2 linked regions of the Saccharomyces cerevisiae S288C genome follow. The protein of the gene in region 1 purifies or fractionates together with the protein of each later gene. This does not show direct contact. Each region holds a gene or a part of one and is shown on either strand. Other genes may lie near its edges.

What was found.
Region 2: the proteins of SER3 (region 1) and PHO12 purify together in Saccharomyces cerevisiae (affinity purification with mass spectrometry, with the first as the bait; one large-scale study listed by BioGRID). This does not show direct contact.

Annotation. Positions count from the first base shown.
Region 1 is NC_001137.3:310,781-325,508, forward strand, and holds SER3 (phosphoglycerate dehydrogenase SER3), read left to right. Parts: upstream 1-11,905; coding exon 11,906-13,315; downstream 13,316-14,728. Other genes in the region: tyrosine protein phosphatase PTP3, read right to left, coding at 1-419; YER076C (uncharacterized protein), read right to left, coding at 1,810-2,718; MRX1 (Mrx1p), read right to left, coding at 3,754-5,820; ICP55 (aminopeptidase), read right to left, coding at 6,027-7,562; YER078W-A (uncharacterized protein), read left to right, coding at 7,866-8,030; YER079W (uncharacterized protein), read left to right, coding at 8,140-8,772; AIM9 (Aim9p), read left to right, coding at 9,183-11,066; UTP7 (Utp7p), read right to left, coding at 13,492-14,728. UniProt on the Saccharomyces cerevisiae protein: Catalyzes the reversible oxidation of 3-phospho-D-glycerate to 3-phosphonooxypyruvate, the first step of the phosphorylated L-serine biosynthesis pathway. Also catalyzes the reversible oxidation of 2-hydroxyglutarate to 2-oxoglutarate.
Region 2 is NC_001140.6:536,849-554,136, forward strand, and holds PHO12 (acid phosphatase PHO12), read left to right. Parts: upstream 1-15,250; coding exon 15,251-16,654; downstream 16,655-17,288. Other genes in the region: YHR212W-A (uncharacterized protein), read left to right, coding at 1,894-2,097; YHR213W (uncharacterized protein), read left to right, coding at 2,303-2,899; YHR213W-A (uncharacterized protein), read left to right, coding at 3,701-3,934; YHR213W-B (uncharacterized protein), read left to right, coding at 3,952-4,251; YHR214W (uncharacterized protein), read left to right, coding at 4,803-5,414; YHR214C-C (gag protein), read right to left, coding at 11,062-12,498; YHR214C-D (uncharacterized protein), read right to left, coding at 13,800-14,093; YHR214C-E (uncharacterized protein), read right to left, coding at 14,352-14,651.

The sequences.
Region 1 (14,728 bases):
GGCAAACATACATGAATGGAGTTTGTGATAATGGATTTGGCATGTTCGGTAAACGGCCTAACATCAAGTAAGAGCACCTTTTCATCTGGTAAGGTTTCAATAATCTTGCCCAGTTCTACAGCAGTAATTAGCGAACAACCCTGCGGCTTATTATATCGCTGTTCCTTGGGCTTGAAGCTTGGCAGGACAGGAGCGGTCGCCCTCTTCAATAACACCGGCGAAGATGTCTTATAGCTCACCAAAGGGCTACTGGCTTTGGGGCTGTGGTATATGTTGCTGTTCATGCTGTTATGATAACTGTTCATAGGAGCATGCCTCGAATATACATGCGAACTCGATCCGACCAAAGTGCTAGTCTCGGAAAGCACTGAAGTGCGGTCGGTGGGTAGAATGCTTGGGCAGTCTACACTGTCCTTCATGTTCTATATGATAAGTAGATCTGTGTTGCTGATGGAGAAGGGAGATACAATACGGATTTTCTATGAACTTTGCAGTGATAAGAGCACCTACGCTATTATAACACCGATGTTAGAATAATATGCAAGTTTGTGGTCTGTGTATACAGTTCTTTGTTTGTGCTTGAAGTGATGATGTTACATGTCAAAGAAAGAAAACCGCTAAGGTCAATGAAAATATAGTGTTACATCCGCCGGTGCAAATGGCGAGGAGAAGATTGGACTCTTGCGCATCGAACACTACCTATCTGCATCCATCCATGCCAGGTGCGCAAACTGTTGGGTCTGGCTAACACCACATTCTCGCTGCGCTGTGTTCTCCGATGACGTTTTGCCGCAAAATATTTTTTTCATGAAGGTCTTTTCTTTTCGTTCAGCGTCAGCGGGCCCAAATCTCAAAGTCGCCGCCATTCTGTTTAATGTTTAAAGTTTCCGCTCACTACACCAAGATGGCAGCAGGAGATGCCAGAAAAAGCGTGGGGTCTGGTCTGGTTAGATATTAGAAGTACATACACATCGGTGGGTGTGTAGCAGTGGCGACACATAAAATGGCCATAATGGGGGTGATTTTACGTATAGCATACATAGACATCTGTCGTTGAGGTTCGCTACCAGTGAACGGATTTAACGAGCAAGCAGCGAAAGTAGCCGAAAACCTCTTATTGTTAATAGTCATTTAGCAGCCGTTCTGCTGCTGTTTTCCTGTGGGGTGAGGTGGGCTGTGATTCGGTAAACTCGCTTGCGGTCTAACAAAAACAGAGAAAAACTTGGTACAAAAAGATTTCATTGGACGCAACCGGAATCGAACCGATGACCTCTTCCTTGCAAGGGAAGCGCGCTACCAACTGCGCCATGTGCCCAGAATTTCTGTATGTGTTGGATCTCAACACGGGGTACCTCCGTATAAGCAATTTTAACCCGTAGATGATTTTAGAGTTTCGTTCCTACACGCATGAAAAAGGTAAGATTGAGTATGCCTAAGATGAACCAATCAAAGTTATAAATACCTGAAGAAATGAGTTTAGATCTGTTGGATGGTGAAACATAAAAAACAGAATGAGGAATAATCGTAATATTTTTATGTAGAAATATCAAGTCCATTGTAAGGATTCTAATATCCTCGAGGAGAACTTCTAGTATATTCTGTATACATAATATTATTGCCTTTATCAACAACGGAATCCCAACAATCATCTCAAAGTTCACCAAAAGTCTCAAGATCCGACTTAAATCTTATATAATATGTAGAATTGCCTGCAAAAGTGTACGATTTTACAATAAAAAACGTCGAATTAGCTTTTCGCATACGTCTCAACCAAGAGGAGAGCGGTAAAAATTATGGGAAACTCAATCGTTAACCTTGCGCCTGATCAAAACAATCATTAATAGCCATATTATTTTTATCAACTTCTGGACAGTCAATACTCCAGGGATAATAATGGGACCAAGCATCATTGGCAACTACTCTCAGCTCGGCACGCCAAGAATCACCGTGGCTATAGGTAACACAAAACGCTGTCTTGCCGTGATTGTGCATACTGGATACTGAAACACGAACTGCACATGTTAAATTTCCTTCAGAGGCTGTAATATCACAGCTACTGTTTGTTGACCACGTCTTGACAAACAAACTCCAACCCTCTTGCCCATCAAAAAAGATATTCGTGAACTCCTGGCTGCCGCAAAACTTCTTGTCACCGCTCCCGTGAACGGCCCATGCTACCCATTGCGCTATGTAGCTGTTCAAATTAGTCGTAAGAGTTGTGGAAGAGACGGCCCTATTGTACAACCTAGACCAAGTTCTTACCTCCACTCCGTAAAACTTGGCTCTACAGAGGGTAGATTCACCTGTTTCCTGGTTGCGGTTGTATTGCAGGTCTGCTGGTGTTTCCACAGAACCATCGACGGCTACATTAATGGCATTACTGATACTTATTGCCGTGACGTCATTTTGAAGTTGCTCGACGAGACTATGCTGAGTGAAGTTGGCTGCTTGGGTAGTTATATTACTGATAATGTTAGGGTATTCAGTAGCATCACGCTTGTTGAAGGACTCAGGTACAGTACCATTTGCAGTTAATCCTATCGTCTGGTAAAATTCAACCATAGAAACTGGAGCGATTGCCAAATCATCGTCCATTTGCCAGAATCCTGATGGCAAGCCCTGGCTTTCACCGCCCGTCAGGTAGATCTCAGCACGTGTGCATGCGCATAACAATAAGATCGCATAAAAAAATGAGACGGTATAGTATCCTGAGGTCATTTTTCTCCCTTGGATTGATTGCTTGCTTTTGTATCTTTCTTATAATAGTTCTTTCAGAAGAGCCCAATATGCGGTTATTATATAAGTTAAGTTACGGCTATGTGAAGATTTTGAATAATGTAAAACTGTTAGAAAGCATTGCCTCTTGTATAAGATGTGGTCGCATTACTTCAGTTAATGACTTGAACCAGTTTGTTTTTCAATCCACGGCTGTATTCTTCACTAATAAAACCGATTAGCGGGAGTCAGGGAAATAGAAAGAATATTTGCAAATGGAGCACCATTTTAGAATTAATTTTTTTTCAGTGCTCACAGGTTGATGATAATGACAAAATATTTTGTTCTTTAGAATTATTTACATATTGTTTAGAGATGAACGATTATTCACACTTATTACTATATTGGTTTAAAATGGTTAACAGTTTGCTCGAGATATCAACACAATCTAGTCTTACATAAAACTTTCTTTTTTGTCCCTGGAAATCTGGCGCAAACCCTTTTTCATAGGATTGACTTAAAATAGTTGAAGAGCGATTTCTCTTGCAAAAAAAGGTGCTAACCCTTCTTACTTTGGTTTATTTTCGTGTTGGAACAAGTAGTACAAAAATATACAGGCGAGTTGATATAATAACATTATGTGCGTTCTCATCGTATACTTAGGCACATCTCTTATACGCTTATATATAATTGCAACAGTAACAGAATAATGAAACTGTTAAAAGCAATATGTAGACAATGACGCAATTGAGTTACAGATCCAATATATACGTGGAAAATATGAGTTGTTACACTGAACATGTTATATTTACCTGACATACCACTATATTGTACTGATGATACTTAAGACGTGCCAATTGCGCGTGTTATATGAACCTCTCCTTCATAGTATAGGAAGATGTACTTTCATTCTTAATTAACACCACCTTTGAATAATTTATCATCAGTAACTTTCAATTAACAAAAAAAATAGGAAAAAAATTTGAAAAAACCTCAAAACTATGTACATATTGAAAGGAGTAAATAATCAATTTTTACTTAAAACTTGTCATAGCTGGTTTCAAGTATCAGCTCGGCCAAGTCCTCCATGATGCGCTCTTCACTGGTACTTGTATTTTCGCTATCACCCTTCCTTCTTGAGTTGCCTTCAATGTCCGCTAAATCTTCCAGTAATATTTGCTTCAGCCTCAAAAGGTGCCTTCTGGCAAGAAACTTCTTTCTTTCCGTGCCTTTTAAACTGGCTATTTCCTCACTGTCCAGTGACGGAAGCTTGATTCTCTCGGTTAAAACCTTGACTAAACGAATTCCCTCCAACGTAACAAACCGCTTGTCTTCTATGCTCGCTTTAAATTCCTTCCCGAACTCACCATTCAATAAAGATTTCAAGTATTCATCTAGTATACTTTTCAGTTCCACTGTAGACACTTTATCATTCATGTTCAGATTTTTAACGATAGGAAACAGGAACTTCCATGAATTAAACCTGTAAACTTTGCCGTTCAACTTTGATGAGTATGTGGCCTCTACGCTATCTATAAACCCCCGAATCTTGTGCAAAGTAGCTTCAGCATTTGATGCATCTTTGTTTATAACGGCCTTGAGACTTTGTCTTTGGAATGCGTTGTACACCAAAATTAACGTCCTCCTGGTTATTGAGATTTGTGCCGACGAGGCTACCCGTTCATAAATGTCCAGACACTCGTCGCCGCAAGTGATGGGCCTCGTTGTTATGACAGTTTCCATGTATTTGTGGTATATGCTCTGATCTAACATTTGGTTGTTCTGTGCCTCTAATGTCTTAAATATTTCCATAGCAAGATCATATTCCTTGTTTTTCAAACAGTAATTCATAAACAATCCCACAACATGTTTGTTGAGAGGAAATGGCTTATTGATGTTCCAATGACTTAGTGGAACTAACGTAGGAAAATCGCTTTGTGTCAAATACTTCTTGAAAATGGTCTTATCAAATTGAAAATATTCACAGAGGGCCCATAGTCCCATTCCTTGCTTCTCAATCTTTGGTGACTTCTGGCTACATATTACTTCACAGTACTCAAATAACAATTTAGAATCGACACAATAGTCTGGTATTTTATTCATCAAATCATTGAGTACCACCATAAAACGTTTCTCATCGGCAATCCTGGTACAAGATCTTATCATTAAGGTATATGTAATACTATCCTTTTTCAAACCTGGGCACTTTTTATTAAGAAGTTTGAACACTAGTGTTTCATCGGTACAATTTATCAGTGCCGCCAAAGCGGTATTATATTCTATTTCCGTGAGCTCATTTTTGTCACACAAACTATCTATAGTCTTCAAAACAAGTTCTCCGTATTTTTTTGAGACCAAATTTTCTTGTTTTGAGAGCCCATTAAAGAGGATTGTGATGGAATGTTGATCAATAGGGACTCCCCATTTTTTTCGCCAATTGAAGATATCTACAGCACTTTGTTGGGACTGCACAACTTCGATATAATATTTCATAATCAAATTCATCCCAACGACGCCTTTCTTTTTAGCTAGCCTAGCCAAAAAGACAGCTTTTTCCAGTTGTCCTCTTTTCAAAAATTTTTGAACATCATTGGCGATTAATTTGGAATCACGTAACTGTTCTCCATTGACGCCTAGTATGGTATAAAAGAGTCTCTTATCTTTGGTTAAGGATAGGAACTTCAAGTCGCTTTGGCTAGTTGGCCCCAGTTTTGTATCTGCTAATGCCTCATTATTTATTTTATGAAATTTTCGAAGAATATGAAAAGCTTGATCCTTGGGGTATGCTGTCTTTTGCAGTTTTTTCAATTGTCTTCTTTTCTTAGAATTTATCCTTTCCAATTGTTTGGATGTTTTATTTAATATGAAACCGTGACGTTCTAGCTCATGTAGTCTTTCTTTTACTTGAGTTTTCTGTAGATTTGTCAGTGAATGAAAAGATCTTCTCAGCAGATGCTCTGTGAGATTAATTGCAGTGTTTATTCGGGGTAGCATTCTAGTAAATATACAAGTGTCTACACCTATTCTTGAAGACTGCGATGACTTTGAGGATGATTGATTCAGATCCTTGGTTCTCAGCTGTCCTTTTGTAATTTTTAGACCCATCTTTATTTTGCCGTAACTAAAAATAAAAACTAAAGAGCAGTGCCCAAGAAGAAGAGGAAAAAAACAAAAAGAAAGCTGAAGAAAAGTATCTCAAGATATTTTCAGTAAATTTTTTTTTTTTTGAATTTTCCGTTTAATATTAAAAGACCTTAAATCGATAAGTTATGTATCTGTATATACAGGGTGTACTCAATTTAGCAATAACATTACAGTGGTGCCACTTGGTCCTCCTCGAATTTTGTAGATAAGCCATTTTGCATGACATTTTCTAAATCGTCAATTTCTTTCACTGCTTCAACAGTTAAATTAGTGTAAGTATCTTCACCAATGGCTATGTCATCTTCAATTCTTATTCCGACGTTTCTAAAGTAAGATGGAAATGATTCCTCGTTAGGAATATATAAACCCGGTTCAATAGTAATAACTTGTCCAACCTTTAATGGTTCGTACCTGGAAACTTTAGGCACATCGTGAACATCTAGACCTAAATTGTGTCCAATATAGTGCGGATACAATTTTTCAACATTCCAACCGGAGACTTTATCTATGCCCAAGTTTTTCAATTCCTGTTTCATGAGTGTGATACTCTTTTCATGGATGTCGTGGAGGGAATAGTTATTGCTAGCTTTACATAACTTAATGCAATCACGCTGAACATTTAATACAGCTTCGTAGAGATCTCTTTGTGCATCAGTGAATTTCCCACTATTGGGCCACGTTCTCGAAATATCAGCACAATAACCACCCAAGGAGCCAGCAGCGTCTACAAGAACCATTTCGTCGTCAAACATCACATCATCGTTTCTTGTGTAATGGATACACAAAGAATTCGAACCAGTAGCGACCACGGGGATATATGCGTCCTTATCGCAACCACCGGATATAAACTTGTAATGAAGAAAGGAATCTAAAGTTCTCTCATTCCTAAATCTTTTAGCAAAGGCTTGATTGAACGATCTTCCTGATATTTGGCCAGCTCTCCTCATAATTCTCAACTCTTGAGGGGACTTGATCTTACGGAACTCTGCAATTCTTTTACTGATGGGTTTGATGGTCTTATTCGCAATGGAATTCAATGATCGATTGCTATTCCCACTGCCATCTAACAGGCTCTTGATGTGTTTAAAATTGGACGAACTGGGATTAGAAGTTGATAGCATATCAAAATAGATGAAATCATTCCTGTTAATTATTTTGGGCAAATATTTAGACAAATCGTTAATGGAAGCAGATTCATCGGCATTGAAAATTTCTTGAACACCATAAACCCCAGACCTAAATCCTTCCCACTTTTCAGCAAACGCATCCTTTGGCGGAACCAGCATGTGGAAAATTGTATCACTTAAACTATCCGTTGGCTTTTCTAAAATCATGACCGAATTAGGTTCATTCCAACCACTAAGATAAAACAGGTCATTTTCCTGTTGGAACGGATAAAATACTGCTCCAGATGCAAATTGGATATCGTTACCAGCTAAAATCACACAACTTTTGGGAGGCAATGTTTCCGCCAACCTAATTCTTCTTTCATAGTATTCCAAGGCTGAAATGCCTGGTGTCAACTCGCCCGACTTTATAAGGAACGGCCTTGTCTCATGCAGTGGTTGGCCTGCCTCAATGGGGATTCTGACTCTATTAGTAAAAGTATTACTTTTATGCTGTTCCAATGGCGATACCAACTTCGAGAAGTATCTTTGGCAAGATTGCATAGAAAACCGTACTGGGTTTATCCTATGTAACATATCAACAGAAAATGACCACTTTTCCTATTAGCTTTTTCTATTATATTCTTTAGAATTGGTGGAGTTTCTTGCGCAAACGATCCACTTTTGCAGTGCAGTAAGTGATCCCTATACCAGGTGAGTTGATATATATTTACTGTATCTTGTACTATTTTATGAACAAGAAAGGCTATTACTCACAACAGTTTTGGTTTCAGTCAAAGTTTATGTGTGAGTGTGAGTGTGAATGTGTGCGTGTTGCATAATTGCATTTGGCCTTTCCGAGAAATAAGTCATTCTTTATTTTTCTCTCTTTACGGTTTAATGGTGCGGCTTTCGTATCTGCGTCTCATCCTTCCCCCTTGCCGCTTGTCAGAACTCTCTAGCTTGGCGATTCTCTATCAACCTGTTATTCCAATTCTTATATCTACCATTACCTTCCAGCATTTTTTCAAATGTGTTCACACGCCCTGTAACGTTTATATATAAATATTTTAATATTTAACTTAGCTTATGCATATATAGTTAAAAGGGATAATAACAATAAGAATAAAAAACACAAACTGCTGAGATAAGAAAAGGAAGCGAATAGTTAATAATGCCTGATTCATCACATTCAATAAGCTCAAAAGATGTTGCATCTGCCATCTCTCTCTATGATCAGTCCATTTACACTAATAACAGGTCTACTAACCTGGACTTAGATCAGAGATCAATGAGCCCTTCCAATATTGCCTCTGGTGAAGATAGGATAACGAGAACGAACTCAGGTTGCTCCATCACATCAGGTGCCTCCATGATTGCCACGAAGGATGGTATTCAGGGGATTAATGTCAAAAGAGATGGGATTCCGAAATATTCACTTAATTTATTGAATTCCATGGTTCGAAAACAATATGATCACAATAATGGAACAAAGTCTCCTACCCCGAAGACTAGCAATATGGTAGACCCTAAGAACAAAAAGAAGAACAAAAAAAAGAAGAATGACAAGGATGACAAATACAAGGTATCGCATGATCAAACCGAAAAGTTTTACAAACTCAACACCACTTCCAACTCCAATCTCACCTCTGATTCTACTACTTCGTTATCGGACCAGTTTTATTTCCAGAAAAGTAACGCTGATTCTGCTCCATTAGACAATGCAAATTACCCACTCTCCGACCATTCCCCCTCCCTAAACTCTATGGATAATACTACAAAGCATAGCAGCAATGTGCACACTTGAATCACGTGAACCACAGTAACCTAATTGCTCAAATTTTGAGAGTTAAAGGAAAGAATAAAATATATAAATGATACGTTTATACCCGCTAAAAAAAAAAAATATAAAACAAAAAAAGGATCTCATAAGACGATTTGTTGGGATATGTCCACATCTTTCGGCTATATACTACATTTAGCTGTTTCCCGTTTCTTTGTATTATTCCCTTCTTATGTATAACTTTTACTAGTAATAATTATAATAAATATTCGTTTTGAAACATGGTAATTTCAAATGTTCAATGTATTTTCGGGCCGATTGCTGACCAGCGACACTTTAAGCCGAACTGTATTTAGTAGACTCCCTTTTCTCATCAGCGAAGAAGAAGTAGCAAAAGCTGTTTAGCAAGCAAGACAGCAATACGAAGACCAAGCATGATTAGGTACACTGTTGCTGGCCATTCCAGAAGGTGTGTAGTAGGAGCTTCGAAAAGAGTGGGTGCAATTAAATGTATCACCGTCGCCGCCACCAAGAGATTTATCTCCAATAAGCCAAACGAAGTTTTTACCAAGCTAACGAATGACAATGATCCAAAGAGAGATGCCTTTTTCAAATATACGTGGGGCTCATGGCTTAAAAATGATAAGCAAGAAAAGGAAAAAAGATTCACGAAGTTTTCGATTGAAGGTTTAAATCGCATTCTCAATGACATCTACATTCAATCTAATGAAATGGCTAAGGCCCCCGACGGTAAGATCTTACCACCAGTGTTTAACAAGAACTTGACCGTTTCATTGGTCAATAACGTTGTACCAAAGAATATAGGTAAAATCAACCCAAATGAAAAAGTTCAAGTAACCACATTATCTAGTATTCACGAAGGTAAACATCACAGAATATACAAGGTCGACACGAATTTGAACAAGGCATTTATCTTGAGGATTCCTTATCCGCTGGAAAATGAAAACACTCTATCCTACAGAATAAGAAGTGAAGTAGCAACCATGGATTTTGCTGACTTGAAGTTGGGCATCAAAGTTCCCAAGATTTTTTGTTATGGTGTCAATTCTTTGAACCCTGTAAGGCAGCCTTTTGTCTTACAAGAATTTATCGAAGGAGAACTCTTGATGAAAGATTGGGATCCATTGATTGAAGACGGTTCCTCCAATCAAAAAAAATATGACAATGTTATTAAACAAGTTTCTGATTTTCAGTCGAAGTTAGTGTCATTGAAATTAAATGCATTTGGATCCATATATTTTAACAATGACTTAAAAGACGGAAATGAGAAGGAGTTTGTTAAGGAAGACATATACGATGGGGAAACTAATCCGGATCTACAAAACAGATGGAAAATTGGGCCATCCGTGGAAAGATGTCTCTGGAGACATAAATCTCACTTGGATTTTCATAAACAAATGAAACCTTTTTTGGGACCATGGCCAAAGAAGTCTCCAATGGATATAATTAAAAATACTGGCCTATTGGAAGCTGAAAATGCTAAAACTAGAATAGCCATGAAAGAGGCAGGAAGTTCAGCTGAATTGATGTATCCTCGAACTTTGAAGGAGCAAATAACTACCTATGAAAATTTAGCTAAGATTGCCCCGGATTTATTCAACGTCAAAACAAAGGCCATTCCAAATATGCAGGAACTATTGTCACCACGTTTGTTTCATCCTGATCTAGACCCCATGAATATTATTGTTAACAAAGAAGCACAAGAAGCCTATCTATTAGATTTTGAAGGAGCATGCACAAAACCTTTCATTTTACAGAATTCGCCACAATTCATCGCCTATGATGGGCCCAAGATTTATGACTTAAAGGAGGACATAACCGATTTTGACAAATTATCTGAGGCGGAAAAGGTGCAATATCAGTTCATGTACAAGCGCACCCGTAATCAACATCAATGGGAGAAAAAATTAAATGACAATAATCCTAAATTAATTACTGCAGTTGCCCCACCTGTTAAGCTACTGAGAAGCCCATATATTGCAGCTGTCGAAAGAAAAACGGAAGAAGAGTATTTACTTATTGATGAATCACTATTGCAATTGAAGGAAGTTTGGGACATCTTTGCCCAGAATGAGTTAGTGAATCAGAAAAAGTTTCCTCTAAACTATAGTAAAGAAGATATTGAAAGACATGTTGAGGATTTGCAAAAATTACACGAAAAGCTAATCTCTACACCATTTGCTGCCACTCAAGGGTGGATTCCTCAAGATATGTTTGATCAACTATTAAATTCCGGCAGTATTGTTAAGCAAGAGAACGGAGACTACACCGTGAAGCAACCTGAAGCTACCAAATAATCTATACTAAAAATGAAATATTTTTTTGTTTTCTTTACCTCATTCAACTGTATAGAACGTTATAACAAAATAATCAAGTTAAAACCCTTTTTTGTACACAATGGAATCTCTTCCATTTACTAATCAACTTAACAATGCTGGATTGGATATATTGATAACGTTTTAAAAAGCGTTGCGTGATGTTTGGGTGCAATTGGCGGAAAAGCGGAACTTTCAAATTTACGATAGGTGGAGATACATCTCCACCTTTCTCCCCATTATCTTTGAATTTTCCTCAAATATATAAAGAGAACAACAAATCCATAGAAATGCCATTGTTTAATCCTGATTATCTACATTGTTTTAGTTTTTTACTCACAATCGAGTAATGCCTTTGTTTGGCCAAGCTATGTGCAAATATCACAAATTAAAAATTTGGTTAAGCAGTTAGGCTGGACCTAATATTTTAGAAAAACCTAATTTTTTTTGTGGACCCATTTTCGATATTTACTCACAAATGGAATTCAAGGGGAACAACTTCGGTCTCAGCACTTTAATTATTCTTCTCGTTCCCACCTAATTTCGCAATTTATTGTCCTTGACTTCTACCACGAGAAAAAAATTAAGAAAATGCAACGCTGCCCGTGCAGGGTTTTCTGAGCGGGATGAAAAAATCAGACAAATATCCAAGTTATGAGTAATTACTTTGTTGGAAGGAGGGAGCAGAGGATAAGGAAATTCTTAAAACTGTTATGTATATAAAGGAAGAACCATTTCTAGTTATTTCACTTTTTGATACTTGTCAACTATCTTAGTAAAAATACAGAACTCTATAAAGAACCACAGAAAAATCGACAGCAATGACAAGCATTGACATTAACAACTTACAAAATACCTTTCAACAAGCTATGAATATGAGCGGCTCCCCAGGCGCTGTTTGTACTTCACCTACGCAATCTTTCATGAATACCGTTCCACAGCGCTTGAATGCTGTAAAGCACCCAAAAATTTTGAAGCCTTTCTCAACGGGTGATATGAAGATTTTACTATTAGAAAACGTTAATCAAACTGCTATTACAATCTTCGAAGAGCAAGGTTACCAAGTCGAATTCTATAAATCTTCATTGCCCGAGGAAGAGTTGATCGAAAAGATCAAGGACGTTCATGCTATTGGTATCAGATCAAAGACTAGATTAACTTCAAATGTCTTACAACATGCGAAGAATCTGGTTTGTATTGGTTGTTTCTGTATCGGTACCAACCAAGTTGACTTAGACTACGCTACCAGCAGAGGTATTGCTGTTTTCAACTCGCCTTTCTCCAACTCAAGATCAGTAGCAGAATTGGTCATCGCTGAAATCATTAGTTTAGCAAGACAACTAGGTGATAGATCTATCGAATTACATACCGGTACATGGAATAAGGTTGCTGCTAGATGTTGGGAGGTAAGAGGAAAAACTCTTGGTATTATTGGGTACGGTCACATTGGTTCCCAATTATCAGTTCTTGCAGAAGCTATGGGTTTGCATGTGTTGTACTACGATATTGTAACTATCATGGCCTTGGGTACTGCCAGACAAGTTTCTACATTAGATGAATTGTTGAATAAATCTGATTTTGTGACACTACATGTACCAGCTACTCCTGAAACTGAAAAAATGTTATCTGCCCCACAATTTGCTGCTATGAAGGATGGCGCTTATGTTATTAATGCTTCAAGAGGTACTGTCGTGGACATTCCATCTTTGATCCAAGCCGTGAAAGCCAACAAAATTGCAGGTGCTGCTTTGGATGTTTATCCACATGAACCAGCTAAGAACGGTGAAGGTTCATTTAACGATGAGCTAAATAGCTGGACTTCTGAATTAGTTTCATTACCAAATATCATCTTGACACCACACATTGGTGGCTCTACCGAAGAAGCCCAAAGCTCAATCGGTATTGAAGTGGCTACCGCATTGTCCAAATACATCAATGAAGGTAACTCTGTCGGTTCAGTCAACTTCCCAGAAGTGGCATTGAAATCATTGTCTTACGACCAAGAGAACACTGTGCGTGTGTTATACATTCACCAAAATGTACCAGGTGTTTTGAAGACCGTCAATGATATTTTATCGAACCATAACATCGAAAAGCAATTTTCCGATTCAAATGGTGAAATTGCTTATTTAATGGCTGATATCTCTTCTGTTGACCAAAGCGATATTAAAGATATTTATGAACAACTAAATCAAACCTCTGCTAAGATCTCAATTAGATTGCTATATTAATATGCAATCGATTCTCATACTGTCAACTTTTTGAACATGATTAAAAGTTTCCTATAAAATATTAAAAAGAACCAAAAAAAAAATGGATAGAAGAATGCTTGAGGCAATAATAATGATTATCTATTTTATATATACATACATAATCATTTAAGTTTTTTTTTTAAAGATATTTCGATTTAGCCGAATCTGCTCAATGCCTCTTCGATGACATCCTTGTGGTCTTCTGAAATTAGGCCTTGTTTGATTTGGTGGTTTCTTTTACGAATATTTTTCTCCTTATCCAGTTGTTTCTGTACTCTTAATTTTCTTTCATCAATAACGTTTTGAGTCTTTTTACGCAAAAAGGAACGCAAACCCGAATTCTTACCTTTCACATCAGGTTTTACATCTGGAATGTCGCTGTTGGTTTTGGCTTTATTATTAGCATCCATTGTAGTTTGCGCCAAATCCTTAGCGTTTAACCTTATGGTAGAAGACCTTTTATCCACTGAACCGATGGAATTCGGATCTAAAGTAATTGTATCTGCTGGCAGTTTGTTCAATAGGGTTCTGACTTCCTGTTCCTGTCTTTGTTTTTTGGTTTCGAATGGGTTTAATTCTAAGGCATCGTAATTGGCTTCACCTGCACCAGGTACAATCAAATTCGTAATACCCGTTTGATGGCCTACACCTAGTAAATCTTCAAATGGTACGAATCCCAAATTTTCTACTTTGTTTCCGGCAAACAAATGTGACATGTAAGGGGTGTTTCTATGTGGGTTCCCTCCCATGGACCCGAAGCACGGTTTACTGTCTCCACTTAATTTTAAAGCGTCCTTCCACAACGTAACGTGAGGGCCCCTAGATAATGCCAATAGACCAGTATCTGAAATGGAAACGTTTGTTCCTGGCGTCGGTAAGCTTTCCACAGAATGTAGTTGCTTGAAGTTTCTGATATCCCAAATTTTCATCGACCTATCAGCCCCTGTGGTTGCCATGTAATACCCGCTTCTATCGATAGCAATGCTGTTCACTGGTCCTCTGGCAGAAAGTAATTTTACTAATGGTTCAGGCATGGATGGTGACCAGAGGGATACTGTACCGTTTGAATGACCTAGATGCATCACAGCATTCCATGGGTTTTGTGCCATTGCCATAGTTGGCCCAGCTTTGGTCCTCAATTCCGAGACCAACTGGCCAGTGGAAACATCGTGGTACTTCAACCAACCTGTCTCACCGGCAGTTACGAGCAGGTAATGATATGGTAGAAAATCTAAATGTCTTGCCTCAATATGTTGTTTCAAACGATGTAATTCTGTACCTTCGTGATCATAAATAAATGTATATTTTTTTTGCGCTACAGCAAAGTATTGTTCGTTTTGCAAATATGTCGCTGAGTGACAGGTTTCATTCAAAAACAGCTCAGCACGAAGT
Region 2 (17,288 bases), on another chromosome or scaffold:
CTATAAAAATTAGCTGCATTCAAACAACAATGTTTGAAATTTTTGCAAAAGTTATTGAAAAAGATTGCTGTTTTCAGCCTTGTTCAGATCATGTCTCAAAAATGAGAAACTGGAACTCTCATAATCAGTACCTCGTATTTTTTTTTCCTTATAGTTTCGTTATTAAAAATTTTTTTGCTGCTAATTTAAGTACGCTTTTGGTCATAAATGCTACCCACCAGTTGAATTATTGACATGATTAAAATACATTTCAGAACTTTACGGATTAAAAACTTTAAAGAACCTTTCAATCCATGTTGCTGGAGGGCCATGAATCCACGAATTACAGCAAAAGAAGACAGTAACTACTTAGGGTTCAATAATTACTTGCATAAACACACACTAACAACCAAATCGTACTAAAATTTGCAATTAACAAAACTCCATCATATCACGCTGAATTATGTAGGGCTTCTTAATGCAATAGGTTGCCTGAATTTTGCTTACTCGTGCTGCCGGGAACACTTAGCAGTTGGGAGGCCGTTTCTCCCATATATTTCATAATTTTCTGTCCTTCTTAGAGTAGGATGCTGAAAATCAAAAGAAGACCGTCAATAGGACCAGATTTTGTGGGTCAATTTTGGGCCAGACACATGATACCCTAGGAAGTTTAACGGTATACAACTCAAGGACGAGGAGTATTCGGAAACTACCGGTTTTTAACAAGCTGCAAATTTCCAGTAGCTGTTTTGGTTGCGACTACGGATAAAAATTCATACTTTAGGAAGTGAAGCAAGATAAAAAATCATGCTGCATCCTAATTCGTGAAGTTTGTTAGGAATATTATTGTAAACAAGGAACCGTTTCAGTAAACTTGCTCTCTACTCTTCTAAGCTGTAATTTAAAAAAAGCGATAAAACAATGATTTTGATTATCTGCAACTTCTGGAAACTCGAGATACTACGCTAGACGAGATACCTATTAATTGTTTTCCTAAAAAATCAGGAACAGTTCCTGGCAGCTTTCGGCTCCTTCTTGTTCTGGAAAGGATCTTCAAATCCGCTTCCACGTAGCAGTCCTCGCTACGACTTCTTCTGAAGTATTTTGATTTTTGGCTGCATTTACCTTTTATTGCCGAAAATCTTATTTTCCAAGAAAAAAGCTTATTTTGCATTAAGTTTAAAAAATTTCTTCTTTCCCGTAGATTGACTTGCAGCGTCAAAATTCCGGAGGCCTCACGAGATTTTTTGACATCGGTTTTTGACATCTCTTTTTCCTTCCTTTTTCTTTCTTTTCCTGCGCACGCCGATAAAGAAGTAGTACAACAGACAACGTCAAAATGATCCTCTTGTGATGAAGCAAAAGAGGAAGAGTATACTCCTTTTCCGCTTGTACAAATATTTTTTTTGATAATAAAATTTGGCACTTCAGAGCTTATCGTATCTTCTCCCGGAGTTCCTCAAGACTTATACTTCAGCCCGTTTAGGAATGCATAAAAGCAAATAGGATTCGTTACAACTGCTGCAGGACTCTTTAGGACTGCATCAAGGTAAGCCTCGCTGCACCTAAACGCAAAATGTGGTTGTAACCTTTTTAATTTTTTTCTTGAACTTGTTGAGTCGTAATAAATCGTTTCTGGGAAGTGGAAGGTAATAATGTAATGGAATCGGCGTTACTCGCATGTGCAGATATCAGCGACAAAAAGTGTTGTAGGGACGTTTCGATACCAAAATTTCCTAAATACAGCGCAGGAACATCACTACGCTAAACAAATCGTAGCGCATACATCTGATCGAAAAAAGACAGTTCCCAAAACAATGACATATGAAGAGACCAGCATCAAAATTTTCATCATTAACAGCATGGCTAAAAGTTATTGTTTAATATACCCATACCTGATTGACGAACCAAGAAATGCCTTATCACTATTTATTTTTGGCACTCTTCACCTACCTGGCCACGTCCAATGTTGTTTCAGGAAGTACACAAGCATGCCTGCCAGTGGGCCCGAGGAAAAATGGGATGAATGTCAACTTTTATAAATACTCATTACTGGATTCAACAACGTATTCCTACCCGCAATATATGACTTCTGGATATGCCTCGAATTGGAATTAGGTTCCGTTGGCGGACAGACGGATTTCTCAATTGACTACGATCTTTCTTGTGTTATCTCTTCAGGAACTTTTAAATGTGCTCAATCAGATGCTTATGGAAACTGGGGATGCAGAGGTCATAGTGAATGTTCAAAATAGCCAAGAAAGACCTATTGGAGTACTGATTTACTTGGTTTCTTACTATCCCAAAAAACGCTACTCTAGAAATGACAGGTTACTTTTTACCACCACAAACAAGTTCTTACACGTTCAGGTTTGCTAAGGTCGATGACTCTGCAATTCTATCAGTCGGTGGTAACGTTGCGTTCGAATGTTGTGCACAAGAACAACCTCCAATTACATCGACGGATTTTACAATCAATGGTATTAAGCCATGGCAAGGAAGTTTGCCTGATAACATCGGAGGGACTGTCTACATGTATGCAGGCTACTATTATCCGCTGAAGGTTGTTTACTCCAATGCCGTTTCCTGGGGCACGCTTCCAATTAGCGTGGAATTGCCTGATGGTACTACTGTTAGTGATGACTTTGAAGGGTACGTTTACTCTTTTGACGATGATTTAAGTCAGTCAAATTGTACTATCCCTGATCCTTCAAAACATACTACTAGCATCGTCACAACTACTACCGAACTGTGGACTGGTACTTTTACTTCTACATCTACTGAAATGACCACCGTCACCGGTACTAATGGTCAACCAACTGACGAAACCGTTATTGTTGCCAAAGCTCCAACCACTGCCACCTCATCCAGTTTGTCATCATCTTCTTCAGAACAAATCACCAGCTCTATCACGTCTTAGCATCCAATTATTACTCCATTCTATCGCAGCAATGGAACTTCTGTAGTTTCTTCCTCAGTCATGTCTTCCTCGGTCATTTCTTCTTCTGCAACGACCTCCACTTCTACATTCTCTGAATCATCTAAATCATCCGTCATTCAAACCAGTAGTTCCACCTCTGGTTCTTCTGAGAGCGAAACAATCTTAGTGATTGCTGGCATGTCATTAGCGACAAGACGCTTATTACCGTAGTAGCCCCCCAAGGCAAACATCTCTTTATCAGTAATATCCAAAGCTGTTCAACTTCTCGAATTGGCCCAGGAAAAGAGCATTGGGGCGGCAACTAACTCTGGCATACTTACAGTTTCTGCTCTTGACAGCGCTAAAAAAGGGCTTGTTTTGTAATGCCCGGTTCGCAATTCTACAAGTACCACGCACTAGCTGCTAAAAGTGTCTAACCTTGCGAACAACTCTGGACTTTCTTATGAGAATCCCATCGTCAAGAAACAAAATTATACAGACAGGCGTAAATGTAGCTCGTAAGCGCCTGATCAAGTAAGCCAAATGCGCTAACTTGAGGAAATATAGCCATCTAAATCTCTGCAACATGCCAATTCGCACGTGACTTGAAACTATGGAAAGTGTCTAGAAGATTACCAAGAACCACGTTATTTGAGAGAGGATGGCAAGGTGACGACAATCACACCAAGACCACATTTTGGGTGCGCCTGGAAGCAAGACCTGAGAAACTGGGCCAAAATATTCAAACCAAGCATAAGATAGTTGGAGGTAGGAATACACTATCTAATCTGTGCTGATGAAATGCTGGCGAAAACGGGCGATGTAGTGGTACAGAAGGTGCCGGTTATCCGTTTGTCCGTTTTTCTTCATTTTTTTTTTGTTTTTCCCTTTTGTCTTTTGCACCGCTTATATATGGGTATGAAACAAGTTCAAGAATTTATAATGGAACCCAAAGGTTCAGTCTTTGTAGTTCGAGCGACATTGCGCGTTTCCTTAGAAAACGCTGGAAAGATATTCTTTAACGAGACGGAGTAATTCTCGTCAGGAATAGGATGTTGATTGATTTTTGCTGTAGTTATATAGCAGGGACCCACGGAAGAGAGCGAGCGCCTTCTTTCACAGGGACTTTTGTCAGCCACGTCTCCGCGGAAAACAATTGCCGTCCGCGTCGCAGTGAGATTACGCAGCCGTGCGCTTCAGGGACAGAAAAGAAGCATTTCGCGGCTACGGAGAAACAGTGCACTAACTCTCTCGAGGGTAGCCGCAAAGATTTCTTGTCTCTTCCATTAGGACATAGCTATCTTTTTCTTTTCTGTTTTTGGCGTATGATCTGTTCTGAGCCAAAGTTATAGAACATTGCTTGAATAAGCACCTCACAGAGTAGGGATTGTATAGAAAGTAGCTGAGCGTCTGCCCACGTAACAAACAATCTTGCCCCTTCCCCGCTCTTGTTTTCGCGTGCCTCTTCTACAATAATCTGGCCAGGCTAAATCGCGTTCTGCTGCTGCTGCTGCTATTGTTATTGTTGTTGTTGTTGTTTTGGCCAATTGCTTATGTGTTGGTCTGCAAATTAGCACCTCGTTCCCTGTTGGCAAACGCGCGCGTACAAGCCTTACAGGGCTTGAGAATGTTCTTCGTAGAAATGCATGCACAAAAATTTTGATCTAGCACACCATCGGTCTCTGTAGCTTCGGGCTCTATAGCTATGGGTTAGGAGTCCGTGAGTAGTAACAAGAAGAAGTATATAAAAAGCAGGTAAATCGTACTTCAATATGCTTCATTGTCACTGGATCGTCATATTCACTCTTGTTCTCATAATAGCAGTCCAAGTTTTCATCTTTGCAAGCTTTACTATTTCTTTCTTTTTATTGGTAAACTCTCGCCCATTACAAAAAAAAAAGAGATGTTCAATCGTTTTAACAAATTCCAAGCTGCTGTCGCTTTGGCCCTACTCTCTCGCGGCGCTCTCGGTGACTCTTACACCAATAGCACCTCCTCCGCAGACTTGAGTTCTATCACTTCCGTCTCGTCAGCTAGTGCAAGTGCCACCGCTTCCGACTCACTTTCTTCCAGTGACGGTACCGTTTATTTGCCATCCACAACAATTAGCGGTGATCTCACAGTTACTGGTAAAGTAATTGCAACCGAGGCCGTGGAAGTCGCTGCCGGTGGTAAGTTGACTTTACTTGACGGTGAAAAATACGTCTTCTCATCTGATCTAAAAGTTCACGGTGATTTGGTTGTCGAAAAGTCTGAAGCAAGCTACGAAGGTACCGCCTTCGACGTTTCTGGTGAGACTTTTGAAGTTTCCGGTAACTTCAGTGCTGAAGAAACTGGCGCTGTCTCCGCATCTATCTATTCATTCACACCTAGCTCGTTCAAGAGCAGCGGTGACATTTCTTTGAGTTTGTCAAAGGCCAAGAAGGGTGAAGTCACCTTTTCTCCATACTCTAACGCTGGTACCTTTTCTTTGTCAAATGCTATTCTCAACGGTGGTTCTGTTTCCGGTTTGTAACGTAGAGACGACGATGAAGGCTCTGTAAATAACGGTGAAATCAACCTAGACAATGGAAGTACCTATGTTATCGTTGAACCAGTTTCTGGAAACGGTACAATCAACATCGTCTCTGGTAACCTATACTTGCACTACCCTGACACCTTTACTGGCCAAACTGTTGTATTCAAGGGTGAAGGTGTTCTTGCCGTTGACCCAACCGAAACCAACGCCACTCCTATTCCTGTTGTTGGCTACACCGGTAAGAACCAAATTGCCATTACCGCTGACATCACTGCTCTTTCTTACGACGGTACTACTGGTGTCTTAACTGCAACCCAAGGTAACAGACAATTCTCTTTTGAAATTGGTACTGGATTCTCTAGTTCTGGCTTCAGTGTCTCCGAAGGAATCTTCGCAGGCGCCTACTCATATTACCTAAACTATGACGGTGTCATCGCTACAAGCGCCGCATCCACATCCGCATCCACTACCTCTGGTGTTGTCTCTACTGCCACTGGTTCAGTCACTTTATCCTCTAACGCTTCTACCACCGTCTCTTCTACGATCTCTTCTAGCGCCCCAGACTCAATAATTCCTTCATCTAGCGCCTCCATCTCTGGTGTCTCAAACTCCACTACAGCATCTGGTTCAATCGCTTCTACTGCTTCCACCGCTTCCACTACTTCTACTGCATCCGCTGCATCCGCCACCAGCTTCACCTCAGGTTCCGCTTCTGTCTACACTACTACATTAACTTACTTGAATGCCACAAGTACAGTCGTGGTTTCCTGTTCAGAAACAACCGACGCTAGCGGTAACATTTACACCATTACCACAACTGTCCCATGCTCATCTACCACTGCCACCATCACATCTTGTGACGAAAACGGATGCCATGTTCCAGCACCAACTGCTACCGACGCAACTGCAACCGTTTCCTCCAAATCATACACCACTGTTACTGTTACTCACTGTGACAACAATGGCTGTAACACCAAGACTGTCACTTCTGAATGTTCTAAAGAAACTGCAGCAACCACCATTTCTCCAAAATCATACACTACTGTTACCGTTACTCACTGTGACGACAACGGCTGTAACACCAAGACTGTCACTTCCGAGGCTTCCAAACAAACATCATTGGCCACTAGCACAGTCACCAAGTCTGCTGCTCCAACTTCTCATACTGCTGCTTCCAGCACCTTCACTGGTATTGTCGTTCAATCCGAAGGTATGGCTGCTGGTTTGAGAACCAATGCTTTAAGTACTTTGGCAGGTATTTTCATCCTTGCTTTTTTTTAAAATGAGTGCGTAACCGTACTTTCCTAAAAATAACTAAGTAGAAAGTATTTTAATATATAAACGTGAGATATATGTGGGTAATTAGATAATTGTTGGGATTCCATTGTTGATAAAGGCTATAATATTAGGTATACAGAATATACTAGAAGTTCTCCTCGAGGATATAGGAATCCTCAAAATGGAATCTATATTTCTACATACTAATATTACGATTATTCCTCATTCCGTTTTATATGTTTCATTATCCTATTACATTATCAATCCTTGCACTTCAGCTTCCTCTAACCTCGATGACAGCTTCTCATAACTTATGTCATCATCTTAACACCGTATATGATAATATATTGATAATATAACTATTAGTTGATAGACGATAGTGGATTTTTATTCCAACATACCACCCATAATGTAATAGATCTAATGAATCCATTTGTTTGTTAATAGTTTGAATGTTTTTATCGGAAGAGGTTTGGTCATTACGTCTGCAATATTCTTTTTGGTTTCGATATAGCATACGTGCAGATGATTTCCTGATACTTCATCTCTTAGTCTCATTGCTTTAGTACCAAAAAATCTGTTTCTAAATTTCTCTTCATTATTGGATATAATTATACTGATTGTAGATTTACTGTCGGTTAGTAATCCTTTAGTAATTGGTTTCTTGTTAAGTTCTTGCACAAGGTGACTGAGGTTATTTAATAATGGGACAGATTCACTTATCGCGTGTATTTCTGCTTCCGTAGTTGAAGTACATGTTAATGAAGCCTTGGTGGACTTTCCTCCAATTACCTTTCCATTAAGTAAATATATGTTGCCAATTTGTGACTTGTAATATGGTTGGTTACCATATGAAGCATCACTTATTGCGACTAGTTTATTATCTGGCTCGGTAGGTTTGTTTTTGTGCCATATCAGTTGTTTATCTCTAGTGTCCCACATGAATTGTATTAACTCATATGTCATGTCTAAAACTTGCCTAGAGGGGAATAGTATATGTTGAGCAAGTGTGTTGATGTAGTATAGTAAGTCAAATCTAAATTTATATCCAACATATGAAGCTAGACCAATCAACTTTTGCATTTCATGTACCTTCTCTTTGTATTCATCTTCATCTATTTCTAGTTCATCCTGGTCTATATAAAGACCTGGTTGACCTGGAGCGCTAAGTTTTCTTCCTTTTGGATTCAAAGGTACGTTTAATTTGGGTATTTTCTCAGTTAATGAGTTTTCCATACCTAATTTCATGTATTTACCTCTTTGATATTTGATTTCTAAGCCAAGTATGTCGTACTGAATTTCGTTATCACTTTCACCCAGATTTATTATCTTTGTATCGTATTGTTTCTTGAGTGTTGTTATGATTTTCTTATTTGCATTTAAGTCTTTGCTGAACAATATCATATCATCAACGAATAAGCAAATTGTTACTTGACTATTCTTAAATACGCATGACCATCCACGAACTTCTTCCATACCACACTGTTTTATCAGGTATGATTTGATAGTTTCGTACCAGTTCGCTCCACTTTGTTTCAATCCATAAAGTGATTTCTTCAAACGTATCAACTTATCATTCATTCCTAAATGTGGTGGAGGTCTTATGTATAGTTCTTCTTTGATGTCTGCATACAAATATGCCGAAGATATGTCTAATTGTGTAATATAGTAGTTATTGTCTAATGCAAGTGACAGGGATGTCATTAATGCATAGTGATGTACGGTATTGGATTGCATGCCTGGGTCGTAAGTGTCAGGATGTTGAATATCACCTCTTGCAACAAATCTAGCTTTATGAGTACCGTCACGTTTCCTGTTAAAGATAAACATTGAATTTATTACTCTTTTGGGGTCTATTTCTTTTCTGTCATAATATCTGTCAGTGTCCCAAGTTTTCATCATCAACAGTTGATTGACTTCTTTGTGGTATGCCTGGATATATTTTTCTTTTTCTTTAATATCTTTATTATAGGTGATTGCCTCATCGTATCGTAAGGTTGTTCGTATTGGTTTGATTGATTTTACTGCTTTTACAGCTGCAATCAGGTGAATTCGTTTCTTCGATCTCGGAGGTTCTAAACTACGCATATTCTTAGTATTCCATGTGTCTCGTGATACCTTAATTTCAGTTTCATTATCTTCTAATGATCTTTTCTTACTGTTGATAGTAGTATAGGCATTAGAGTCACCAATACCACCCAAACTGGAATTAGTTTGATGAGAATTTATCGGTGGGAGTTCTTTAAAGGAGTCTGATAATTCGGTAGGAGGTTCTGGAGGCAGATCGGGGAGTGGAAGATCAGCGATAATAGATTCCTCTGTATTCTCCTTAGGACAGGTATCTGACGTTTTGATAGGAACGACGTGGTGTAGTGAATTACTTTCTGATGAGGAAGTATCGATCGAAGGTGAACGGTGTATGATCCTTTTCTCAGTCTCCTGTTCGCTTGTCTGCGGAACAGTTTTATTATTGGTACCACCCGTACTGGATATTGGTACGTTTGTATGATTAGTCTCATTGTCACTGTACGAGTCTGAGTGTCTGAAATCTTTAGATTTACTGGCGTGCGACGACTCATGTGTGTTAGATTGGGACATGGGAGCAAGTAAAGGAACATCTAATCTATGCATACCACCCGAACCGGTACTCTCGATATCGGAAATTTGGGGGGTGCTAGATCTCTTCTTAGATGGAAGAATATTAGATTCAGATATGTTGGGGTCAACTTCTCTGGGTGCGCGAATATTGGTTTTGGAAACACGTTTCGAATCTTCAGTATGAGTTGACGGAGGTGTGGAATCGGTTGGACTCACAGCTTTTGAAAGGACATTTCTCAGTTGCTCAGGATGTAGTTCAATGTCAGATTGGAAGTCATGGTCAGATTCTATGTTAAGATCATTGGATTGTTGGATCTCATTTGACGCAATGAACGAATGATATGAAGCAGTTAAACGGTTTAAGTCTTCATCGAAAGTGAGTGCGTCGTAATTGAATTGATCTAATCTGGATTCCTTGCCCTGAAGAATAACATAGTTAGTTGTATCTACTGTCTTCTTTAAGGACGGAAGATAGATGATATATCCATAAGAGTTTCGAGACGGATGTAGAGCGTAGCCTGGGATGCCACGAGGATGTATTTTGGAGTTAGGGTTGTGATCATTGACGATAACAGGTTGACCGAAAGGTAACAAAGTACTGATATCAAGTCCTGCCAAGCCAGCATGTTGTCTTGCAGATTTTTTGCTTTTAGGTGAAGCTAGTGAATTTCTCACAATAGTAGAAAATTCGATTGCAGAGAACCATAAATGGTTCGGTAAACCACTACATTGCAGTTGAGTACGGCAGTCATCTAATAAGGTACGGTTGAGCCGTTCAGCGACTCCATGTGCTCGGGAATCCGCTGTGGTTGTATAGCATGGAGTTATACCATTTTTTTCAAGGAATTTATGGAGAGTTCTGTTAGTATACTCAGAACCACGGTCCATTTGTATAACCAAGACACTGGCCTGAAACTGGTTTTTAATAAAAGCTAGTATCGTAGTAAAAACATCGAGGATAGAGTCCTCGCGACGGTCGTGTAATGGATAAACCCAACGGAATTTTGTTGTCTCATCAGTAAATGAGATGAAATAGGATGGTGCACTTTTTGGTAGGTTGTGAACTGGACCAAATATGTCAGTATGTAGGTATTGAAAGGGTTCGTATGAATTTTGGTATTTTAGTCGTGAACCTTTGATATGTCTGTGTTTGGTGCTTTTGCCGATTAAACAATCAGGACATTGATAGTCAATAGCACTAGACCAGTCGACATCTGATTCGTTAAAATACGTGATGGTGTTATTTTTAAGTGAGTATCGAATTGTCTGTGCATTGGCATGCGCAAGCATTCGATGAATGAAAGGATAAGGATATTTGCGTGTACTTTCACTTGTATGGACATTATTGATGGTGGGTACGGAGATATTTGATGGAAGCAAGTACTTTTTAGATACCCAGTAAAAGTCTCCATATTTTACGATAGGTGCAAGTACAGTGCCGTCAGACCGTTCTAAGACGTTTTTGGTAAAGCATGCTGTGATATCTACTGCAGCCAATTCATTCAAACTGAGTAAGTCATAGGCTATGTTAGGAGTGTGCAATACCTTTATTGATGTTTTGGTGTTGTCCTGGAAGTGAAATTGTAGGTCACCAATAGCGTTAATTGGTATATTTCTTTTTTGAGCATCAACTACGTTTATGTCAGGATTAGATGATGCTGAGTGTATGTGATGAGCAGATCTTATAAGGGTTCGTGATGCTCCTGAATCGAGAAGGAGGTGTCCAGGGAGTTCATCATCAGAATGATTAGTATGATTTACTGTAGATTCAGTAAGTTTCTGGCCTAAGATGAAGGTCGTGCTTATTGTTCAATTGAATCGGTTCAGTAGTTGATTTACTGATGGAATCGTTGTCCGTGCTGGGAGAGTTATTAGATGTGGATACATTGTGAGCCCTGGCTGTTTTCGATTTCGAATTATTTGTTTTTTGAGGATTCCGAGCTATAACTTTGGGTTTGGTTGTATTCGTATAGCTGCGAGAATCATTCTTCTCATCACTCGGATTTCTCCTGTAATTAGGTTTGCTGTTTCTCGATCCCTGTTGTTCTTCATAAATAGCATGGATATCTAAGAACAGTTCAGCGACTGTCATATTTAGATGTCGATGACGTGTGTAGCGTAAAAATTTATATTCGCCAGATAGACCTCTCATAATTAATTGGCATGCGACCTTGTTATTGATATGAATGCCATTATTGTTCAGTCTGTCGATAATGTTTGTGACTTTTGTTTCAAATGCATCTGCAGGTGTACTGCCATTATATTGCAAATTTGCCAGGGTCACAATGTCGTTTGCCTCTTGGGTATCAGATTGCATTTTTTCAATACTTTTGGAAAGAATTTTCATGATATCCGTATAATCAACGGATAGGATGTCTTTGACCCAGGTAGGTAGGAATTGAGAGGGAGCAAATATTTGAAAAGTGTTATACAAGAAGGTGAGTTCATCATCAGTGATCTGACGTACGGGTTTTCCGTTTACTGTCGGAATAATACCACCGAGATTCGAGTTTTGTAAAAATTTGATGTATGTTTTAACCCAATTTGGAAAGTCATTAGGTGAGGTTAACATTGGTGGTACGGGTTTTCCGTTTACTGTCGGAATAATACCACCGAGATTCGAGTTTTGTAAAAATTTGATGTATGTTTTAACCCAATTTGGAAAGTCATTAGGTGAGGTTAACATTGGTGGTGGTCTGACATATTTTTTAGTGGATGTCATATCAGAGTCCGCTGAGGATGAATCAGTAAATGTATTACCTGACTCAGGTGATGGAGTGCTCAGAGGCGTTCCAACTGATGATGGATACTGCGGAAACTGTGATTGTGGCCCAGGTGGAAAGTACATAGGCGACATTTGATAAGGTGTATACGGAATCATAGATGGGTGTCCGTAAAATGACCAACCAGATGGATTGGCTTGGTTTTGGGTCATCATGCACTGCTGTGGGTACGGCCCATTCTGTGGAGGTGGTACTGAAGCAGGTTGAGGAGAGGCATGATGGAGGTTCTCTGGAACAGCTGATGAAGCAGGTGTTGTTGTCTGTTGAGAGTTAGCCTTAGTGGAAGCCTTATCATATTCTTGAATTTTGGAAGCTGAAACGTCTAACGGATCTTGATTTGTGTGGACTTCCTTAGAAGTAACCGAAGCACAGGCGCTACCATGAGATATATGTGGGTAATTAGATAATTGTTGGGATTCCATTGTTGATAAAGGCTATAATATTAGATATACAGAATATACTAGAAGTTCTCCTCGAGGATATAGGAATCCTCAAAATGGAATCTATATTTCTACATACTAATATTACGATTATTCCTCATTCCGTTTTATATGTTTCATTATCCTATTACATTATCAATCCTTGCACTTCAGCTTCCTCTAACCTCGATGACAGCTTCTCATAACTTATGTCATCATCTTAACACCGTATATGATAATATATTGATAATATAACTATTAGTTGATAGACGATAGTGGATTTTTATTCCAACAAAACGTCAGTGTAAACATTCAAGTGATTTTAACTTTACGCGGTTGAAGAATGCTGTGTTCGAACTATAAAGCGTCAGAAAAGATGGTTTAGCGAAGGCACCATTATGAAGATAGACACATTCTTCTTTTTTTTTTTTTTTTTTTTTTTTTTTTTTTTTTTTTCATTTACTTTTATTTCTCGCGGTCGGTAAATTTTTCGTGGGTTTCTTTGAATCTATTAGCCGACATAAGAATAATGCATAAATAATATTTTTAATGTCTTCCTATGCCCAAAAGAAGAAGTCTTGAAGTTGCCGCACATGGAAATCACATGACCATGGCTTGGCCCTTCGTTTTAAATGCAACATGCAATATGGAATGTGTCATGAATACTATCAGCAGGAACAGAAAGCGTCGTTTTGTTTCTGCAAATGCTGTAGTTTTGGGCCGAAAATAGATGTAGTAGAATATATAGTGAAACGTGATGTACAAAAGAAAAAGGTAGTTTAAAAAAAATTAGATAACTTGGATTTTTACCCTGAATATTGCATGTGATTCGTAAAGAACTGAGTTACCTCAAACGGACCTCCCTTTTCATTTCGTATTCCGCGAATCATGAAGTCATGCAATTACCTCTGAAGAGCTGACTGTCCCAAAAGAAGCTATCGAATCTGTCCTTGATTTATTTAAGCCTTGCGTTTCGAGAAAGTGAAAACCAATTGAATACAAAATAAAAAAAAAAGAAGAAAGAAATAGCAGGTCTAAGATATATAAGAAAGTTAATATCATTTTTGAACATTTTATTTTAGACGCCTTCAGCCGCGCGACGCCCGGAGTAATCATATGCCCATGACTTTACCAAAAGGCAACAGGGAGGAACATGCATTAATGTGAAGCATCACTGCTGCAATTCTCGGTGTTGCTAATAATTCATGGATCGAGAAAGAGACATAACATTTAGGCCAATTTTTTGAATAAATATGAACTCAGCTAAGACTCGACAATACAATTTTCTTATACTAAACGTAGATTTATAAAATAAACACAACTGTAAGGGCAATGCAACCGTAGATGCATATATCATTTATAGAAATTATATCCAACAGAAAGCTCAGACTTATATCCGGTTTAAGAGAGAAATTCTTGCTCATATTACCCCAAGACCAGGTGGCGTGTTGAAGTTTATAACATATAAGAACTACTACCTCATGAATTCTAGTGGATGAAAGAAGCAGCACGAACACCATTTCTACAGACAACGACACATGGAAAGGTTCACCATTCCCAAAGAAAACAACGATGGCCACAAGGGTGTGGTCCTCCATTCTCCTACTGTTGGAAGGAGATATTATCCGACCGACTGTTTTGTGATATGGCAAACTATTTTTTTAAATGAGCAAAATTACTTCTTTTGGCTGGAAATGTCATTAGAAAGTGCCCAAGTGACATTTAGCTAAACTCGGGTATTGTCTACAAGACCGGTGCTGTGACCGTTTCCAATACGGAAAGAAACGGTACTGGGAGCAGGAGTTGCTTTTACAGATATGAACAATGCCAATAGAGCCGCACATGTAATTACTGGTTCACACTCGTGGGGCCCACACGATTCCTGTGCAAAGTTTGACAAGAGGATGGAGTTTCACGTAAATGCTGCCAAAGGTGATGCGGTTTTGTTTTTGGGCAGCCTCTACCATGTTGCAAGTGCGAACCATACTGTGGCCACATAGATTACAAAAAAAGTCCAGGATATCTTGCAAACCTAGCTTGTTTTGTAAACGACATTGAAAAAAGCGTATTAAGGTGAGAAAATCAAGATTATCTAAGCCGATGAAAAATGAAAGGTATGATTTCAGCCACAAATATATAGTAGTTATTTTATACATCAAGATGAGAAAATAAAGGGATTTTTTCGTTCTTTTATCATTTTCTCTTTCTCACTTCCGACTACTTCTTATATCTACTTTCATCGTTTCATTCATCGTGGGTGTCTAATAAAGTTTTAATGACAGAGATAACCTTGATAAGCTTTTTCTTATACGCTGTGTCACGTATTTATTAAATTACCACGTTTTCGCATAACATTCTGTAGTTCATGTGTACTAAAAAAAAAAAAAAAAAAAGGAAATAGGAAGGAAAGAGTAAAAAGTTAATAGAAAACAGAACACATCCCTAAACGAAGCCGCACAATCTTGGCGTTCACACGTGGGTTTAAAAAGGCAAATTACACAGAATTTCAGACCCTGTTTACCGGAGAGATTCCATATTCCGCACGTCACATTGCCAAATTGGTCATCTCACCAGATATGTTATACCCGTTTTGGAATGAGCATAAACAGCGTCGAATTGCCAAGTAAAACGTATATAAGCTCTTACATTTCGATAGATTCAAGCTCAGTTTCGCCTTGGTTGTAAAGTAGGAAGAAGAAGAAGAAGAAGAGGAACAACAACAGCAAAGAGAGCAAGAACATCATCAGAAATACCAATGTTGAAGTCAGCCGTTTATTCAATTTTAGCCGCTTCTTTGGTTAATGCAGGTACCATACCCCTCGGAAAGTTATCTGACATTGACAAAATCGGAACTCAAACGGAAATTTTCCCATTTTTGGGTGGTTCTGGGCCATACTACTCTTTCCCTGGTGATTATGGTATTTCTCGTGATTTGCCGGAAAGTTGTGAAATGAAGCAAGTGCAAATGGTTGGTAGACACGGTGAAAGATACCCCACTGTCAGCAAAGCCAAAAGTATCATGACAACGTGGTACAAATTGAGTAACTATACCGGTCAATTCAGCGGAGCATTGTCTTTCTTGAACGATGACTACGAATTTTTCATTCGTGACACCAAAAACCTAGAAATGGAAACCACACTTGCCAATTCGGTCAATGTTTTGAACCCATATACCGGTGAGATGAATGCTAAGAGACACGCTCGTGATTTCTTGGCGCAATATGGCTACATGGTCGAAAACCAAACCAGTTTTGCCGTTTTTACGTCTAACTCGAACAGATGTCATGATACTGCCCAGTATTTCATTGACGGTTTGGGTGATAAATTCAACATATCCTTGCAAACCATCAGTGAAGCCGAGTCTGCTGGTGCCAATACTCTGAGTGCCCACCATTCGTGTCCTGCTTGGGACGATGATGTCAACGATGACATTTTGAAAAAATATGATACCAAATATTTGAGTGGTATTGCCAAGAGATTAAACAAGGAAAACAAGGGTTTGAATCTGACTTCAAGTGATGCAAACACTTTTTTTGCATGGTGTGCATATGAAATAAACGCTAGAGGTTACAGTGACATCTGTAACATCTTCACCAAAGATGAATTGGTCCGTTTCTCCTACGGCCAAGACTTGGAAACTTATTATCAAACGGGACCAGGCTATGACGTCGTCAGATCCGTCGGTGCCAACTTGTTCAACGCTTCAGTGAAACTACTAAAGGAAAGTGAGGTCCAGGACCAAAAGGTTTGGTTGAGTTTCACCCACGATACCGATATTCTGAACTATTTGACCACTATCGGCATAATCGATGACCAAAATAACTTGACCGCCGAACATGTTCCATTCATGGAAAACACTTTCCACAGATCCTGGTACGTTCCACAAGGTGCTCGTGTTTACACTGAAAAGTTCCAGTGTTCCAATGACACCTATGTTAGATACGTCATCAACGATGCTGTCGTTCCAATTGAAACCTGTTCTACTGGTCCAGGGTTCTCTTGTGAAATAAATGACTTCTACGGCTATGCTGAAAAGAGAGTAGCCGGTACTGACTTCCTAAAGGTCTGTAACGTCAGCAGCGTCAGTAACTCTACTGAATTGACCTTTTTCTGGGACTGGAATACCAAGCACTACAACGACACTTTATTAAAACAGTAAATAGACCTAATATGATTTATGTAATTTTAGAAACTAAATATGAATGCTAATTTTTTTCTTATTTTGACTTTTGCTTGCGAGAAGTACCAAGTTGGAACAACAAACACAGTCCAAAGAGGGAAATACAAAGGCACAGTACGCAATTACTTTATTATTCTTTAGCAAGACGAAGATAGTATGAATATACGTGTAAGGCATATGCAAAGCCATGATTTTATACCATAGACATGACATGCGGGTTACATGAGGTGGTAAAATGTTTTAAGATAGCGTCCAGGGCAAGTACATGAAATGTCGTTTAGAGATGATGCAAGAGTAGGGTTATGATGTGAAAGAATAGGGCAATTAATTAACAGAGCGGATGTTGTAGGATGATATAGTGACACATAATATATAAATGATCGGTTGAGCGCGATATTATATAAGAACATCCATATGAGTATATATCCTACCGTGTCTGTTCTCTACAGTGCTTCTTTTATTCAAAATTATTGGTTTTCGTAACCGCCGCGCAGGCACGCCGCGCATCTCTTTTTCTCGAAGAAAGCGGAAAAATAAAAACGAAAAAATAAAAAAAAAAAAAAGTATAAATAGTGAAGACTTTTTCCATTTGATATTTGGTAAAAATTTCGGC